Neurospora crassa OR74A: one gene and its partner. Each later gene encodes a partner of the first gene's protein in a complex. Links are inferred from orthologs where the notes say so. Each region holds a gene or a part of one and is shown on either strand. Other genes may lie near its edges.

Region 1 (7,285 bases):
CTTGCGTCGATCGCTGCGATGAGAATTCAAACCCGTTCAGCCGCCAAGAGGCTCAAAGTAAACACCGAGGAACACATCGTGGTTGCGAACCCCCTCCAGAATCCGATCCTTGTTCCAGATCATGTATCTGAGACTATTGTAGCTTCGGTTGAGGCTGAATCCTGGACGAGAGGGAAACGGAAGCGGGGACATGCCACGCCGGCGCATCCTCTCAAAGGTTCGCTCACTTCTTTGCTCTCGATTTCAGCCTGCTAATTAGTTGAGTACATAGGTGGTCGGGATGTCTTGCCTCCTAGCATGGGCGTTCTGCCAACCCCTGGTACAATTCCAGAGACACCAGATTCGCTGAGCAGTTCTTCCAATGCGCCGGTGCATTTAACGCGAAGTGTGGCCAAACGCCAGAGTCAAACTTCGCTCGAAACTACAAAGATTCGGACCGAGGATGTGAAGGCGCAGAAGACGCCGATCAGTATAGGGCCCCTACAAGTGACTAGACCTGATGATATCTCGGTACATCATACCCGAGGTGTGACCGAACGCCGGACCAAGGTTCAGTCCGCCATCATCAAGGATCGGACGAAAGATGCAGCTGCGACAGAAGCTGTAGAGAACATCATGGGCACTTCTCTGGATAACACTATTGAGGTGAACACCCCCAACGACGACGACGACGACGACGACGACGACGACGACGACGACAAAGACGAGGAACACACTGAACGGGATCGACGGGGTACCAGGTCGTCTTCCAAGAGGCCAAATACAGAAACCGACAAAAACCTCGATAGCGGCAATGGACATATTATTGTCAAGACCAGCAAGAAGGCAGCCAAGGTCACCGCCACAAGAATAGCCACCGTGGACCGTGACAGCCCTGACTACAGAATGCCAGTGAGAAGGGGCCCAAATAATCCCATGGGGTTCACGCCAGGGTTCTCACCCTACCCCAATCGTCAGGCTCCTACCTCTGAAGCATGCGAGGATGTGTACCGCGTCTTGGCAACCATGCATGGCAAGGTAGAGCAACCCAAGGAAATACCCAAGGCATCTTTGGAGAAGGCCGGATGTGGCGAGGTACCTTGCGTATTGGACGCCCTCCTCCGGACGCTGATTAGCGGCAACACACTGATGGCCATGGCGGACCGAGCGATCAGGAACGTAGCTCAAGAGTACGGTTTACGAGAACACGGCTCAGGCATCGGAAGCATCAACTGGGAAAAGGTTGCCAGCGAGCCAGAGGAAAAGCTGGCCCAGGCTATCAAGGTTTCGGGGAACGGAAACCAGAAGGCCAAGCATATCAAGCTAATCCTCGACATGGTTGCGTTGGAGATGGCGCAGATGGCAATGGAGAACAAGGGAACGGGCGGTAAGCGAGAAGTCGCCTTCTCAGAGACGTTGAACCTAGACCACATGCACACCGTCACCAAAGACGAGGCCATGGCCAAGCTTGTCCAGTATCCCGGTATTGGCATCAAAAGTGCTGCCTGCGTTACACTCTTTTGTCTTCGCATGCCCTGCTTTGCAGTTGACACGCATGTCCACCGGTTCTGTCGCTGGCTCGGTTGGGTGCCGGAGAAAGCGAATGCTGAGGACTGCTTCAGACACTGCGACGTGAAAGTGCCGGATCACCTCAAGTATGGCTTGCACCAGCTGTTTATCCGCCATGGACAACAATGCTTCAAGTGCCGGAAGGCGACAAGGCCTGGTACGAAGGAGTGGAGGGAGGCACCCGAATGCCCGTTGGAACACCTGCTGGACCGGGGGAAGGGAGGAGACCATGGAGATGGATAGACAGGGAACGCCGGAAAGAGTCGATTTGGAAGTAGTTGGTTTCTTTCCAAAAGCAATAATTTCCAGTCTGACTCTTTGGCCCGCCATAACTTGAGACCCTCTTGATACTGTTGTGACGGATGAAAGCTCCCTAGGCCTTTTGACCTCAATGTTCGAAGATTGGTGATTCATGGAAGAGATGGGGAGTTGGGCGAATCCGTACCATGATATACAAGTATGTAGGAGCTCTCCATCTGGCTACTGGCAACAGCTGCTGAGCAGCTGCCTGTTTCTGACCATCGGACCTGCCTGCCGCGCCCCTCTGCCCCCCCTGCAACTTTTAGCGGCCCCACGCACTTTAGGTCTGACGCGGTTCCTTCTGGATTGACGCGCAACAACAGAACCTAGGTTTCGTTACAGCGTCCATTCCTCTTCCTTTCCCAGGCACTGTGGACGCTGGCTCTGGCATGTCAGAGGAAGCTCCCGTCTGACAGCCGCACCGTCAACTCCAACATACAACAGGAGAACCTTCACCGATTGCTTGGTGAAAGAAGAACGGAGTCAGACTCCTTCACTGGCCTGGAACATAAAACCCCACGAGCGCGGATTTCTCTTCTGTCCTATTGGTATACAATTTTCCTCCAACCCTTTGTCTGTGGGTGCAAGCGATACCCGCACATCCATCGCCATCTCGGCCTTTGCCCTCCGACAAAGCATCACTGCTCGTCCTCGGTTGCCTGGAGCATCTTGCTTCAACTATTCTTGTCATTCTTTTGCCGCACAAGTTGTTCCTCTAGCATATCTGTCGCTCACCTCGAAAGCTTCTTGTCGATGCAAAGGCTTCTCTAAACCATTCCGTCTGCTTTGCGCTGAAGGTTGCTTCTTGCGACCATCGAAGCGCAACCCACTTCGCCCTCCAAGCTCCGTCAGCCTAGACAACCACCAGAAGCCATCACGTTCTTGAATCGACCGCCGAGATGTCAGACAAAATGGAATACCCAGAGCTGGGGACCGCGGACGTTCAGATGGCTATGATGGAGATGCATCAAGCCTTTGAAGAGTTTCCTCCAGACGCACATCCAATTTGCCCTTTGCTCAGCGACGATGACGATACGGACTACGCGTTGCCAGACCTCCCCGATGCGAACGGAACAACGGTGGCAGAAAAGCAAAAGCGAATCGCTGACGGGTTCGAGAGACGTAGAATTACCTACGGCCTTTCGCTTCTGTTGGTGATGCCAGAGGCTGGTAAATGGATCAACGAGTGGAAAGAGCGTGTCAACTTCTTTCTCACAAAATGTGACCAATGTGCCAGGACATGGCATAGGACACGCCAGCAATTCATCAGAGCCATTGATCAGTGCGTATTCGCAAAAACCTACTTGGTCCACCGTAGGCCTGGTGACCCCAGCTAATCCGATTTACAGATACACTTCCCGAGACAACGCCGAGCTCTTGCGGAATCTACAGAAAAACCTCGAAGCCTTCGATGAAGAGCGCATCACGCGCGGCCTCAAGAGAGCCAAATTCATCCTTGAGAGGGACGGTCCCATGCCGACTACGAAGCTCGTTAGAATCGAACTTTGGCCGTGTCTCGCCTTGTTCGAATCGCTCTGCTGCATGGCATACTTGAACACCAACAAAGCAAACCTAGAGATATTCAATTACGTATTCGAACATGTCCAGCCTAAGAAGCCGCTGAAGATGGTGGGAGGCGCAATTCCGACCATGACATACTTCCTTTTCGAAGAGTATCCGGTGCACAGGGCGTTTGCAGAGGCACAATGGCAACGGATGCTGCCGGAAAGCCTCACCGATGAGGAGTGGGAATGGGCTGTCAGAAGCGGCCTCAAGTCCCATATACTCGGCCATAGGGGGATACAGCCCCCGGCGCGGCTGTGTCGCTTTTGGAGCGGATTCCTCCTCATTTTGCGAGCTATGAGCGAAAAGAGTATTTTGGAAAACCTCCGCGGTATGGAAGTACAACCGAATGTCTACTTCCTTGCTCTCGAAAACCTCGGCACCAATAACGTCCCTGCTTTGAGCATGATACTGAAAGCACTTCGTACGCTAATGGAGCGTTCGTCAAAGGCTTTCTGGGACGCCTATGACCAAGTCACTCCGAGTATGATTGTGGAGGAAATCTTCAAGAGCCCGGCTTTTCGGCCCTTTTTAAACCAGTCTCTTGAGCCGGACATGATGGTCGAGGACCAGGAAAACAACGGTCAACTAATACCAGCGTTGGCAGAATGGGTCAGGGCCTTTATCCGTTCCCTTCCCTCAGCGCGGCGGTCAGACGTTTGCGAGACTCTTCTTCGGCATCTGTTCGAAACTCTCCGGGTCGACGCAGGCGCAGCCCCAGAAGCGAAGGCCACTTGCATCCTTGCTGGTCTGGTGACCTTGAGAGAATGCTTGGACGGCTACCTCAGCCTTCCATCCTTTGATACAGGAACGTCTCTTATTATGGTCAACCAGTTACTCAACAGAGTGATTCAGTACAAGGAAGTCATCATTGACGCGACCAGGCTCAAGGCCGCGGACAAGTACAACGTTGGCCTCTCACAGGCTGCTATAGCTATCATACAGTCTGCCCTGGCATTGGACGCGAAGGCGACGTTGATGGAGTGGGACGCTTTCGTTAAGGAAAAGCCTGTTCAAGATGCCGTAAACAGGGACTCTGGCGCATTGTGGGAGTCATTCCTCGAGCTCGTCTGGAACGGACAAACAGATCTCGCCAAGGCCATGTTGAGAGCTACGATGCCTCTCAGGAGTATCGAACGGTTTATCCCTAAGCGGAAAGACCAGCTCAAGAACGAGCATGCAAAATTCAACAGACGCTTTCAACAGCAAACGGCGGCAATTGGCAAAATGTTAGGCCGCCTGTCTGACTTCAACCCGGCTGATCTTGACAGTTTCTGCTCGGATCCGCAGAGTAACACCATCCAGCCCATCGTGGCGACTCTAATACACGGTGAGGAAGCCATTCGCGAAGCTGGCTTCGAGTTGATCAAAGCCATCACAGGTGAGATGACGCCATCTGAGGCCGTGAATAAGATGCTTGAGGAGTACTTCAGCCAGTTCCTGGAGGCCTTCACTGGCGCCGTAAACCATATCACCAACGCCAAAGACTCCAATAATCCGTGGAGTCACATGCAACACTTGTTGAAATGCTGTGAATTCGTGCTCAATAGCTTAAGTGATCCGTCTGTAGGTCAACTCAGACGCAAGACCCTGACCCCTGCGGAACATGCTATCGTCAAGGGATGGTGGGATTGCGAATGGAGAGCCGTCGGCCACTCGTTCGGATCCATGAGACTCTGGCACGTGAAGGTGGACAAGAAAGTCATGGAGGACTTTTGTCGTGATGTGATGGAACTTGCAGAGAAGCTCCTCGCCCAAGACGGTCTCATGGCTTCGGCACTTAGCAGTCCTCAAAGCATCTCGGCGACAAACGGTGACGACGGCTCAGAGGGCATGAAGTTGGTCCTGGAGCCGCCGAGAATACACTCGCTTCCCTTAGTGGACATGTTGCAACTCCGCGATAAATATCTTATCGCCGGTATTATCGAAATCACCAAGAAGTTGATCAAGCGTCTGCAAGACAACGGCATGGATCTTCCGCCAAAAACAGTCGCCTATCTCAACAATATGCTGAAGAAGAGGAAGATGACTGATGGGCGAACGGACTACCCCATAAAGACGAATCTCACCAACGAGCAACGGATCGAGCTACTCAAGGCGCTCGGGGACGATGCTGCCATCGAAGCGCAGTTCGTTGGTGGAAAGCCTGTGAAGCAGGAGGTCAAGCCGGTTATGAAACAGGCAAAGCTTGATTTCTCAAAGGCATCACTCAAAGACCACATTGCCTCGCTTACGCCTGCCTTTGAGAAGGCCACTGAGAGGCGGAAGAATGCTCTGTTGGAGACGATGAAGGCTGAGGCTCCAGCCAAGGCTCCTCCCAAAATCGACTCAAAGGCTGCCGACAAGATCAAGGAGGCTAGGCGGCTTGAGCGAGAAGCCAAGGCCAAGCGAGATGCTGAGGCCATCGCGAGGGCAAAGGCCCTGCGTGCGCCACCGAAGCTGGTCCAGGGAGAAGGCTCAGGTCTGGCTGGTGTTGCTGGAGTTCGTGGCAAAGACCACGCCCCAGTGCTGAAGGATGAGATCATGGTTGGTTCATCATCGGAAGACGAAGATGAGTCTGACGATGACGAGTTGATCACACTCCATGCCGCTGGAAAGAAGAATATGACTGAGGCCGAGCGTCGCGCCCATCGGTTGTTGGCTGAGAAGATGCGCGGACCGGTGAAGAAGGTCAAGATCGAGCGGTCCGCCAAGGATATGCGCGCTCGCCTTATTCCCCCTATGGATGTGTTGCACCAGGCCATCTTGGAGTGGGACATCTTCCACGAAGGTAACGATCCGCCGAACGGGTACCGTTGTGATCACGTCTCGGATACCTACCAGGACCCGGTCAGCTACAAGCAAACCTTCTTTCCGTTGCTCATCAATGAAGCCTGGCGCTCGTTTGTCACAGCCAAGGATGAAACCACGTCCAAGCCCTTTGGCATCAAGGTACTTAGTCGCATGACAGTCGACAAGTTCATGGAAGTTACGGCGTCGGTTCCAGTTGCAATCAACAAAGACCGTCAATTGTCTGAAGGAGATATTGTCATCATTTCCAAGGGCCAAAACCCGCTTCAAGAGCCAGAAGAGCTACACTGTCTTTCGCGTATCTGGAAGACAACTTACAAAAAAGACAATGTGGAGGTCGTCTACCGCCTGAATGCCAAAGGGAACCAAATTCTACCTGCGCTACTGCCTGGCTCGGAGTTTACCGTTGTCAAGATCACCAACATGACGACCATTGAACGCGAGTATGCCGCCCTGGAAAGTTTACAGTACTATGATCTTATGGACGAGGTATTGAGGGCTGAACCGTCTCCTATGCTGTCTTTTGGCGAGGAGAACATCAAGAACACCATGAAAAACTGGAATCTTAACCCAGGTCAAGCGAAGGCGATCCTGAACGCCAAGGAGAACGATGGGTTCACCCTTATCCAGGGTCCTCCAGGTACCGGTAAAACTAAGACCATTGTGGCAATGGTTGGCTGTCTTCTGACCGGCGTGCTCAAAAACCCTACCGCTGGGGTGGCCATTGGGCGTCCGGGACTCGGAGCTGCGAAGAACAACGCTCCAGCAAAGAAGCTGCTTGTTTGCGCGCCCAGTAATGCCGCTGTGGACGAATTGGTGTTGCGCTTGAAGAATGGTGTCAAGACCCAGAACGGAACAACTCACCAAATTGAGGTGGTCCGTCTCGGTCGCAGTGATGCCATCAACAGCGCAGTCAAGGATGTCACGCTTGATGAGCTGGTCAAGGCGAAACTCGAGGCTCAGTTGAACAAGGATGAAGGCCCGACTGACCGGGAGAAGCTGCACCAAGAAGCGGGCGAGATCAAGCAGAAGATTGCCGAACTCAGACCTCAACTGGAAGCAGCGCGCACGATTGACGACAGGC
Region 2 (7,393 bases), on another chromosome or scaffold:
AGGTTGGACGAGGCGCTTCTCAGCAAGGACTACAGTAGAATACAAGAAGTGTACGTTTGTTCTCACTAAGGTTACCAATTATCATACCGGTTTTCAGAATGGTAAAACCGTCAAGAGACATCTAACGAAAGAGAAGAGATAAAGTATACAGTTGCGGAAGGATCAAAACCATCAAGCAACCCTCTGCTTTGAAGAAGAACCAGATAGGATACACCGGACCTAGAGCAATACCCTACCGCTGCCCCTCTACTAACGTAGTGACCCAGAAAAAAGAATACCAATACGCCGCAAATAACGATAGCCTCCGGCCCCATAGCAGTAACTTTTTTTTTCTCCATGGTTCTTTATCCATCTCAAGGGGTATCTCCTCCCTTAACTGATCCCTCGCCTGTGTGCTCTCTCTTCAGATTCGTCTTCCTCAGCTTTTCCCTGGGCCTTTATCTCCGCGAGCCAGCAGGAACCGAACCCTTCAGTTGTTGGACGTGCTGTTGGATGTGAAGGCATAATTGGGAGGAAAATTGATGCCGTTCGGTCCAACAGTGATGTTTCCAGGCAAGCCCATCACAATCGGGTCATCGTTGGCTGCATTCTTGTCATTCCGATCGCCGCGTCTGTCATCGCCACTGTTATTGCGATGCTTCTCGCGACCATGCCGCCAGCGGTTACCGGCAGGGGGCGGTCCACCTGCGTTCCCAGTAGGATGCTGGGGCTCCTCATCTCGGCGGCTTGACTTGGGGCCATGGTTACCCCCTTTGTCTGTCTGCATACGTCGACTGATGGCTTTTGACGAAACACCTGCGCCAATCTCAATGTCTGGCTCCTCGACAACAAGACCGGTGGTAATAGGTTGGCCACCACTTCCGCCATAGGGTGCCGTCAACATCCATTTCCGGTCGGCTTCGGTGAGCTTATGAATAGGAATGACACTGATCCCAGTCTGGTAGTCACTGCAGTCACGGGGGCCAAAGCCAACACCCCAACGAGTCTACAAAATCGTTAGTTGGCGACCAATAACGAAGATATGAGTCGCAAACTTACCCGCAGCTGGACGTCGGAGCCTCTGTTCTCTTCCATGGCTTTCTTTGCATTCTCAGCATCTTGACGGTAGTACATCTTGACAAAGGCATGTCTTTTCTCTTTGTTGACGATGCACGTTTGTACTTCGCCGTAGCGACCAAAAATGGAGCGGAGTTCGGCTTCGGAACATCTACATGTCTGTCAGTCAATGCACATATAGGCTGGAGAACAGCTTGGCAAACTTACGTCACACCACCGACAAACAGCGTGCGGCTATACACCTTGATGTGACCATTGGGAAGAGTAGGATCGTGTTTGACCCATTTCTCGGAGGGCGGCTCCTGACCCGGGCTCTCATGTCTACGGTTGGGGGGCGACCGTTGTCGGTACTCGGGAATACGCATATCCCGGTCTCTACCACGATCATCCGGATGGCCACGGGGCGGGGTGCTCCGCCCATAATCAAAGCGATCGTTACCGCGGGCTCGAGGCGACCCCCTGACATCCCAGCGCCGCGGCGAGCGTGAGCGAGAGCGACCCCGAGGCCTATTTGGAGACCTCATCCCATCATGATAGCCATTACGATCACGTGATTCATCATGTCTCACGGCCTCCCATGCAGGGGCAGCAGATACACCGCCAGCAGGGGGAGGAGGAGGATAGCCGGCATATAGAGGCTGAGCAACGGACTGGGGAGGTGCTGCCGGGGCGGTGCCACTTGGTTGACCCATCAGCTGCATTACACTGGCAATCTTGTCAAGAGGGATGCCCTGGGCGGCGAGGGCGGCGAACAGCTGAACCGTCGTAGCGGTATTCGCACTAGGGGCTGCTCCTGGCACTTGCACAGGCTGAGCTAGCTGTGCGGCCGGAGCTGGGAAGCCAAATGGCATCGTCGGTGGCATGTTCACCGACTGCCCCGCCGGCTGCGATGCTGATAAGTACGGCATACCCGGGTGCCCCACACCGGGAAGAAATCCGGCTGGCAATGCTCCATTGCTAGGCTGGCCAGAAGTAGCAAACATGGGATGCGGCGTGGAAGAAGTAACAGGAGGAATCTGCGGGACCCCCATTTGTACCGGAGAAGGGGCCACAGCCGCAGTTGCGGCCGGGGCGGGAGCAGGGGCGGCCGCGCTGGAATTACTCTGAGCCGCATTCGCATTCAAGCGGGCAAGATTTGCTAAGGTCTCCAGGATGTTGGACGGCATTACGGCGGTAGTTGTAGGCGTAGGGAGAGGTCTGCTAGTGGCCTGCAAGGAAGCCAGCGGGTTGGGAGGGGGACTGCCTGGTGGTGTTGTCGAGACATCTATCGGCACACGCTACAGTTAGATCAGGCAAACAACGAGCACCGCACACGCGTAAGGGAATATGCTTAGGAGGATCCGGGCAAAACCTACTGTGCTGTTGATGAGCATTCAGCTTCTCCTTGAAGGTGTTGACCATATCGGGAGGAAACGTCTGGCCCTTTTCCCATATGTCGACCAGCTTCTTGATCTTCTCCTACAAGACGATACGGGTGTGAGTTTATGAACAACATGATACTGGACACTAAATACAACCAAAAATGGATGCACGATATGGTCTAGGAAAGTGAAGACGACTGGTGTGGCCTGATCTTACAGCCGCTCCCAAGTGTGCTCGGGGTCTAGTCCGTTTGGCAGAAATGGAGGTATAAGTGTAAGACGGCACATGAGTGTGCGGTTGTGTGCGTACCTTTTGATCCTCGGGGGCCGAAGAGATGATGGCGTTCATGAACATGGGCATTAGTTCAGTCACTCTATGGACACCGGCAGCATAGGTGCCATCCTGTGCACCAAGGGTGACGGGTTGTTCAAGGGCCTTTGCCTTCTCCAACCATTTGCGGGTTACAGAATCTACGACGTATAGGACGCCCAGCTTGTGAGTGTTTGGTGTCTTCTTGTAGTGGGTATATAACTTCTGAACCAGCTGTGATTCGTACTGTCGAAGGATGTGTGGTTAGCTCTGGTGCCTCCATCGTGCATACTGTCGAGCCCAGACACGGCGCTTTTCTTACCTGGACGTTGTTCAAACACAGCATGGTGAGGCTATTGATTTTCGAGCCAGAGACACCGGGCGGTTTCAGGTTTTGCATGTCCCCGAGGCCCTTCTCTAGTTCAGCTACGGCCGCCTGTGACGACAACATGATGGATGATTTTTGTTTGAAAATCGAGCAAGACCAGCTGAAGTCGGCAATCAACTTGGCCGTTGGGCTTGGAAATACAAGCTGCGATGTAGTACGGTTGTGATACGGTGAAGGCTGATTAAAGGTTTTATGCCAATACCATGCTCCTTTGTCACGGGTGGAAAGACGGAGTACGTTGATTAAGGCTCAAACAGGTCGGCATCCAAGGTCTGCTTTCCTTGCTTCTCGACGTATATCACCGAGGTTACGAAGCTGCAATTTGCCCGCGCCACCGGGTACTCAGAAGAGAGCAGCTTGTACGAAGAGACTGTCCTTTCTGTGCGTCTTAAGACAAGCGCAGAAGCCGTAGGCCAGTGCAAAGTCCTAGCAAAAAAAAGAGAAGCCGAGAGGCCAGAGATATATGTTGCTGGCCGGCGTGTGTGCGAGCAAGAATACGGTGGTCCTTTTTATTTTTCTGACGTGACGCGCGAAGTGGAAACCACCAACTGGGGATAGCTGTGACGACGTGCAAGAACCGCAACGAAAGCAGCTGTACGAAGGGCAGACAAGATCAGGACTTGACCTGCGCGGATGTGATCTGGGCGCACCCTTTTACTGTGAGGCTACTAGAAAGTGAGAAAATCCAGGTGAGCGTGTGCTGAGTCGAGATGCATGGACAAATCCTGGGCGACTAGTCGATTACTGGATTGCTGGATTGACGAAGGCGGTCTCCGTTGGCGTTTAAGATTATTTTCGCTGATGACGACAAAAGCGTGATGTGGTGGTGATGCGAGAAGTGAGGAGGGAGTTGGGGTTGGAAAGCGGGGAGAAAGAAAAGTTGTCGTTGCAGAAGTAGAAGAAGTGGACTGGACGGGGGAGTGCCAGTGGTCGGTGGTTGGTGCAGGTATGGGTGGGTACTCGGCTGTAGTGGCTGCCCTGATCTTGACTCTGCTCGAGTCGTCTGTCGGGTTCGATTGCATCCGTTCGTCGCTTCGGTTTGCCTGCCCTGCTGCCTGTGTGCTGTGCTGCTGTGGCACCGTGGCTGTGATGCGTGGCCCGAGGGGAGGAACGAACTGGCAGGCACTTTTTCGAGCCACCCAATCACGCCTTGATTGGTTCGAATGACCCGCCTCGAACTGTTGTGACTGAAGGCTCGGAAAACCTTCTTTTTACAAGCAAACGAAAGCCTTGCAGAGAGGTGTCGGACGTGTTGTGGCCTGACGCACGTACCAAGAGCATGAGGCACTAAGGCAACAAAGCCGAGACGGATTGCGGTAAATTAGGAACCCCAACCGTTGATCCACATCCAACCTGAGATTGGATGAAGCCCTTACTGGAGTCGGTTGCGTGCTCCATCCGACTCTCCATGCAACCCCGAAGGTTCCACGAACATTGATGATGAGCGTTGAGTGTCGAGGACGTGCTAGGGAACAGATTGTGCAGGCGGGTTCATCTATTATCAATCCGTCCATCAATTGGCAATTCCAACATTGTTTTCTGGAAACCCGGAGCAGGAACGTTTCCACACCTGTCAAAAGGGGCGGCTTCCCCGGATGAGTTAGGGATCTCGCAAGGGCCAAGTACATACCTAGGTAGTCCCAAAGGCCCAAAGGGTGCCGTGACGTCAATGCATGCCGGTGTCGACATCGATGCGAGTGAACAAGCAGTTTTGACATCGCGATGTTGAGGTCTGGTCTGACAACCGCTGTCCCTCGAGACACATGCGATTGCAGAGACGCGCACATGATGTCGGTGCCGCAAGTGTTCAGCGTGGTCGTGTCCAGGTATTCTTCCGGTCTTCCGTCGTCGGCCATCCTTTTACCGCGCGCATGGACGGGAGGAGACTTGGGAACCGAAACACACGTGTGGGAGCCGCCCCGCGTTCGATCCTTAGAACGGCGTCAGCGACCCCCTGACCCGCTCGAGCTCGGCAGCTCGGCCAAGCTACCTCCACGTACATCCGGATAGAAACATTGAACCTTTGGCCCGCAGAGTTCCATGTTCAGCTTCATGATCCAAATTGACCACATTCAGGGCCGGATATTGTATCCATCAAAAAACGGAGATTTGGCGCCGGCCTCTACGGTGATTACGGTGTGGGCTTCTCCAGTCTCATACTCGCGGATTCGCGAGGGAAGAGGAGCATCTGCCTGTCTACGAGTCGGCCATTGTGGATCAAGCAGCGTGTCGTGTCACGAGCATCGCGGCCCGGTGTATTGTACAATACAACAACTTCGTGAGAGAACTGGCCCGAACACCCCGGTCCACTGGCCCGAGCAGAGTGGGAGCCCCGCCTATTTGCTCCCGCCCGTGAACATTATTGGATCCAATTGGCACTGGCAATTGCGGGCAATTCGCATCCAGTCGGGGCAGGCCAATCCCCCGGCAGGAGCGACGGGAGCAGAGCCCGCCAAAGCCACCTAACGGACCTCTGGACCTGCCCTGGTTCGCTGGTTGCGACGGCAGGTCAGGCATATTTTCCCACGCATTGCCTGCTCCCCGGCTGCGCTTTTTTTTCAAGCCCGTGCCGCCTTGATTGCTTCAACCTGAACCTTTTCCCTTTCTTCTCTCCTTTCCGTACTGTTCCTTTCTCCTCAACCACACCACATCCCGTCCTCCCACTCAGTAAACCATGGCTCCCGTTATGCGCCTGGGCTCCGCCGCCCTGAGGTCCTCCATCCACCTCACTTCTCGCCAGACTGCCTTCACTGCCGCCAGATGCTACTCTTCCAAGACTCAGGTAAGGCAGTCTCATGAGCCGGGGACACACTGACATCATCCGCTGACCGCGCTTCTTTGGCCGTACTAGACTCTCAAGGAGCGCTTCGCTGAGCTCCTCCCCGAGAACATCGAGAAGATCAAGGCCCTCCGCAAGTAAGCTCTACCTCTGCCTCGGCATAAGCCGTCGATAGCTTCTCGACTCGTCTATCGTGTTGCTGATCTGTCCTGCCAACCTCAGGGAGCACGGTTCCAAGGTCGTCGACAAGGTCACTCTCGACCAGGTCTATGGCGGTGCCCGTGGCATCAAGTGCCTTGTCTGGGAGGGTTCCGTCCTCGACGCCGAGGAGGGTATCCGTTTCCGCGGCAAGACCATCCCCGAGTGCCAGGAACTGCTTCCCAAGGCTCCCGGCGGCAAGGAGCCCCTGCCCGAGGGTACGTTCACACGCCTGCGCGCCTTGCCAGGACCATGCACCGTGAGATATCGTGTTTAAGCGGTCTTGTGTATTGACTTGATACGCAGGTCTCTTCTGGCTTCTCCTGACCGGTGAGGTCCCCTCCGAGCAGCAGGTCCGCGACCTTTCTGCCGAGTGGGCTGCCCGCTCCGATGTCCCCAAGTTCATTGAGGAGCTCATCGACCGCTGCCCCTCTGACCTCCACCCCATGGCTCAGCTCTCCCTCGCTGTCACCGCTCTCGAGCACACCTCTTCCTTCGCCCGTGCCTACGCCAAGGGTATCAACAAGAAGGAGTACTGGGGCTACACCTTTGAGGACTCCATGGACCTCATTGCCAAGCTCCCCACCATTGCTGCCCGCATCTACCAGAACGTCTTCAAGGGCGGCAAGGTCGCTGCTGTCCAGAAGGACAAGGACTACTCCTTCAACTTCGCCAACCAGCTCGGCTTCGGCGACAACAAGGACTTCGTTGAGCTCCTCCGTCTCTACCTCACCATCCACACCGATCACGAGGGTGGCAACGTCTCTGCCCACACCACTCACCTTGTCGGCTCTGCTCTCAGCTCTCCCTTCCTCTCCGTCGCTGCCGGTCTGAACGGTCTCGCCGGTCCCCTCCACGGTCTTGCCAACCAGGAGGTCCTTAACTGGCTCACCGAGATGAAGAAGGTCATCGGTGACGATCTCTCCGATGAGGCCATCACCAAGTACCTCTGGGACACCCTTAACGCCGGTCGCGTTGTCCCCGGTTACGGCCACGCCGTCCTCCGCAAGACCGACCCCCGCTACTCTGCCCAGCGCAAGTTCGCCCAGGAGCACCTCCCCGAGGACCCCATGTTCCAGCTCGTCAGCCAGGTCTACAAGATCGCCCCCAAGGTCCTCACCGAGCACGGCAAGACCAAGAACCCCTACCCCAACGTCGATGCCCACTCTGGTGTCCTTCTCCAGCACTATGGTCTTACTGAGGCCAACTACTACACTGTTCTCTTCGGTGTTTCCCGCGCCATTGGTGTCCTTCCTCAGCTGATTATCGACCGCGCCGTCGGTGCCCCCATTGAGAGGTAT

Evidence for each region. The genes of interacting proteins can lie anywhere in the genome.
Region 2: the proteins of NCU02036 (region 1) and NCU01695 are in contact, whole or in part, in an NMR structure (PDB 6GC3), measured with the Saccharomyces cerevisiae proteins. The link is inferred for Neurospora crassa OR74A from reciprocal best matches to the Saccharomyces cerevisiae genes SEN1 and NRD1. Residues at the interface, in NP_013534.3 of Saccharomyces cerevisiae: Asp2052, Asp2053, Asp2054, Glu2055, Asp2056, Asp2057, Tyr2058, Pro2060, Ser2061, Ile2062, Ser2063; in NP_014148.1 of Saccharomyces cerevisiae: Asp19, Leu20, Lys21, Ser22, Ile24, Ser25, Gly26, Ser27, Arg28, Lys30, Tyr67, Asp70, Ser71, Arg74, Lys123, Met126, Leu127, Ile130, Arg133.

What each region holds. Positions count from the first base shown.
Region 1 is NC_026501.1:1,602,613-1,609,897, reverse strand, and holds the start of NCU02036 (tRNA-splicing endonuclease), read left to right. Parts: upstream 1-2,201; 5' UTR 2,202-2,747; coding exon 2,748-3,130; intron 3,131-3,197; coding exon 3,198-7,285. Other genes in the region: NCU02035 (helix-hairpin-helix domain-containing protein), read left to right, coding at 19-217, 272-1,791. UniProt on the Saccharomyces cerevisiae protein: ATP-dependent 5'->3' DNA/RNA helicase required for the expression and maturation of diverse classes of non-protein-coding RNAs like precursor tRNAs, rRNAs and small nuclear (snRNA) and nucleolar (snoRNA) RNAs.
Region 2 is NC_026502.1:2,699,015-2,706,407, forward strand, and holds NCU01695 (RNA binding protein Nrd1), read right to left. Parts: upstream 4,142-7,393; 5' UTR 3,179-4,141; coding exon 3,050-3,178; intron 2,974-3,049; coding exon 2,728-2,973; intron 2,515-2,727; coding exon 2,412-2,514; intron 2,321-2,411; coding exon 1,264-2,320; intron 1,208-1,263; coding exon 1,039-1,207; intron 986-1,038; coding exon 470-985; 3' UTR 43-469; downstream 1-42. Other genes in the region: cit-1 (mitochondrial citrate synthase), read left to right, coding at 5,790-5,897, 5,967-6,031, 6,117-6,310, 6,399-7,389. UniProt on the Saccharomyces cerevisiae protein: Plays a role in sequence-specific regulation of nuclear pre-mRNA abundance.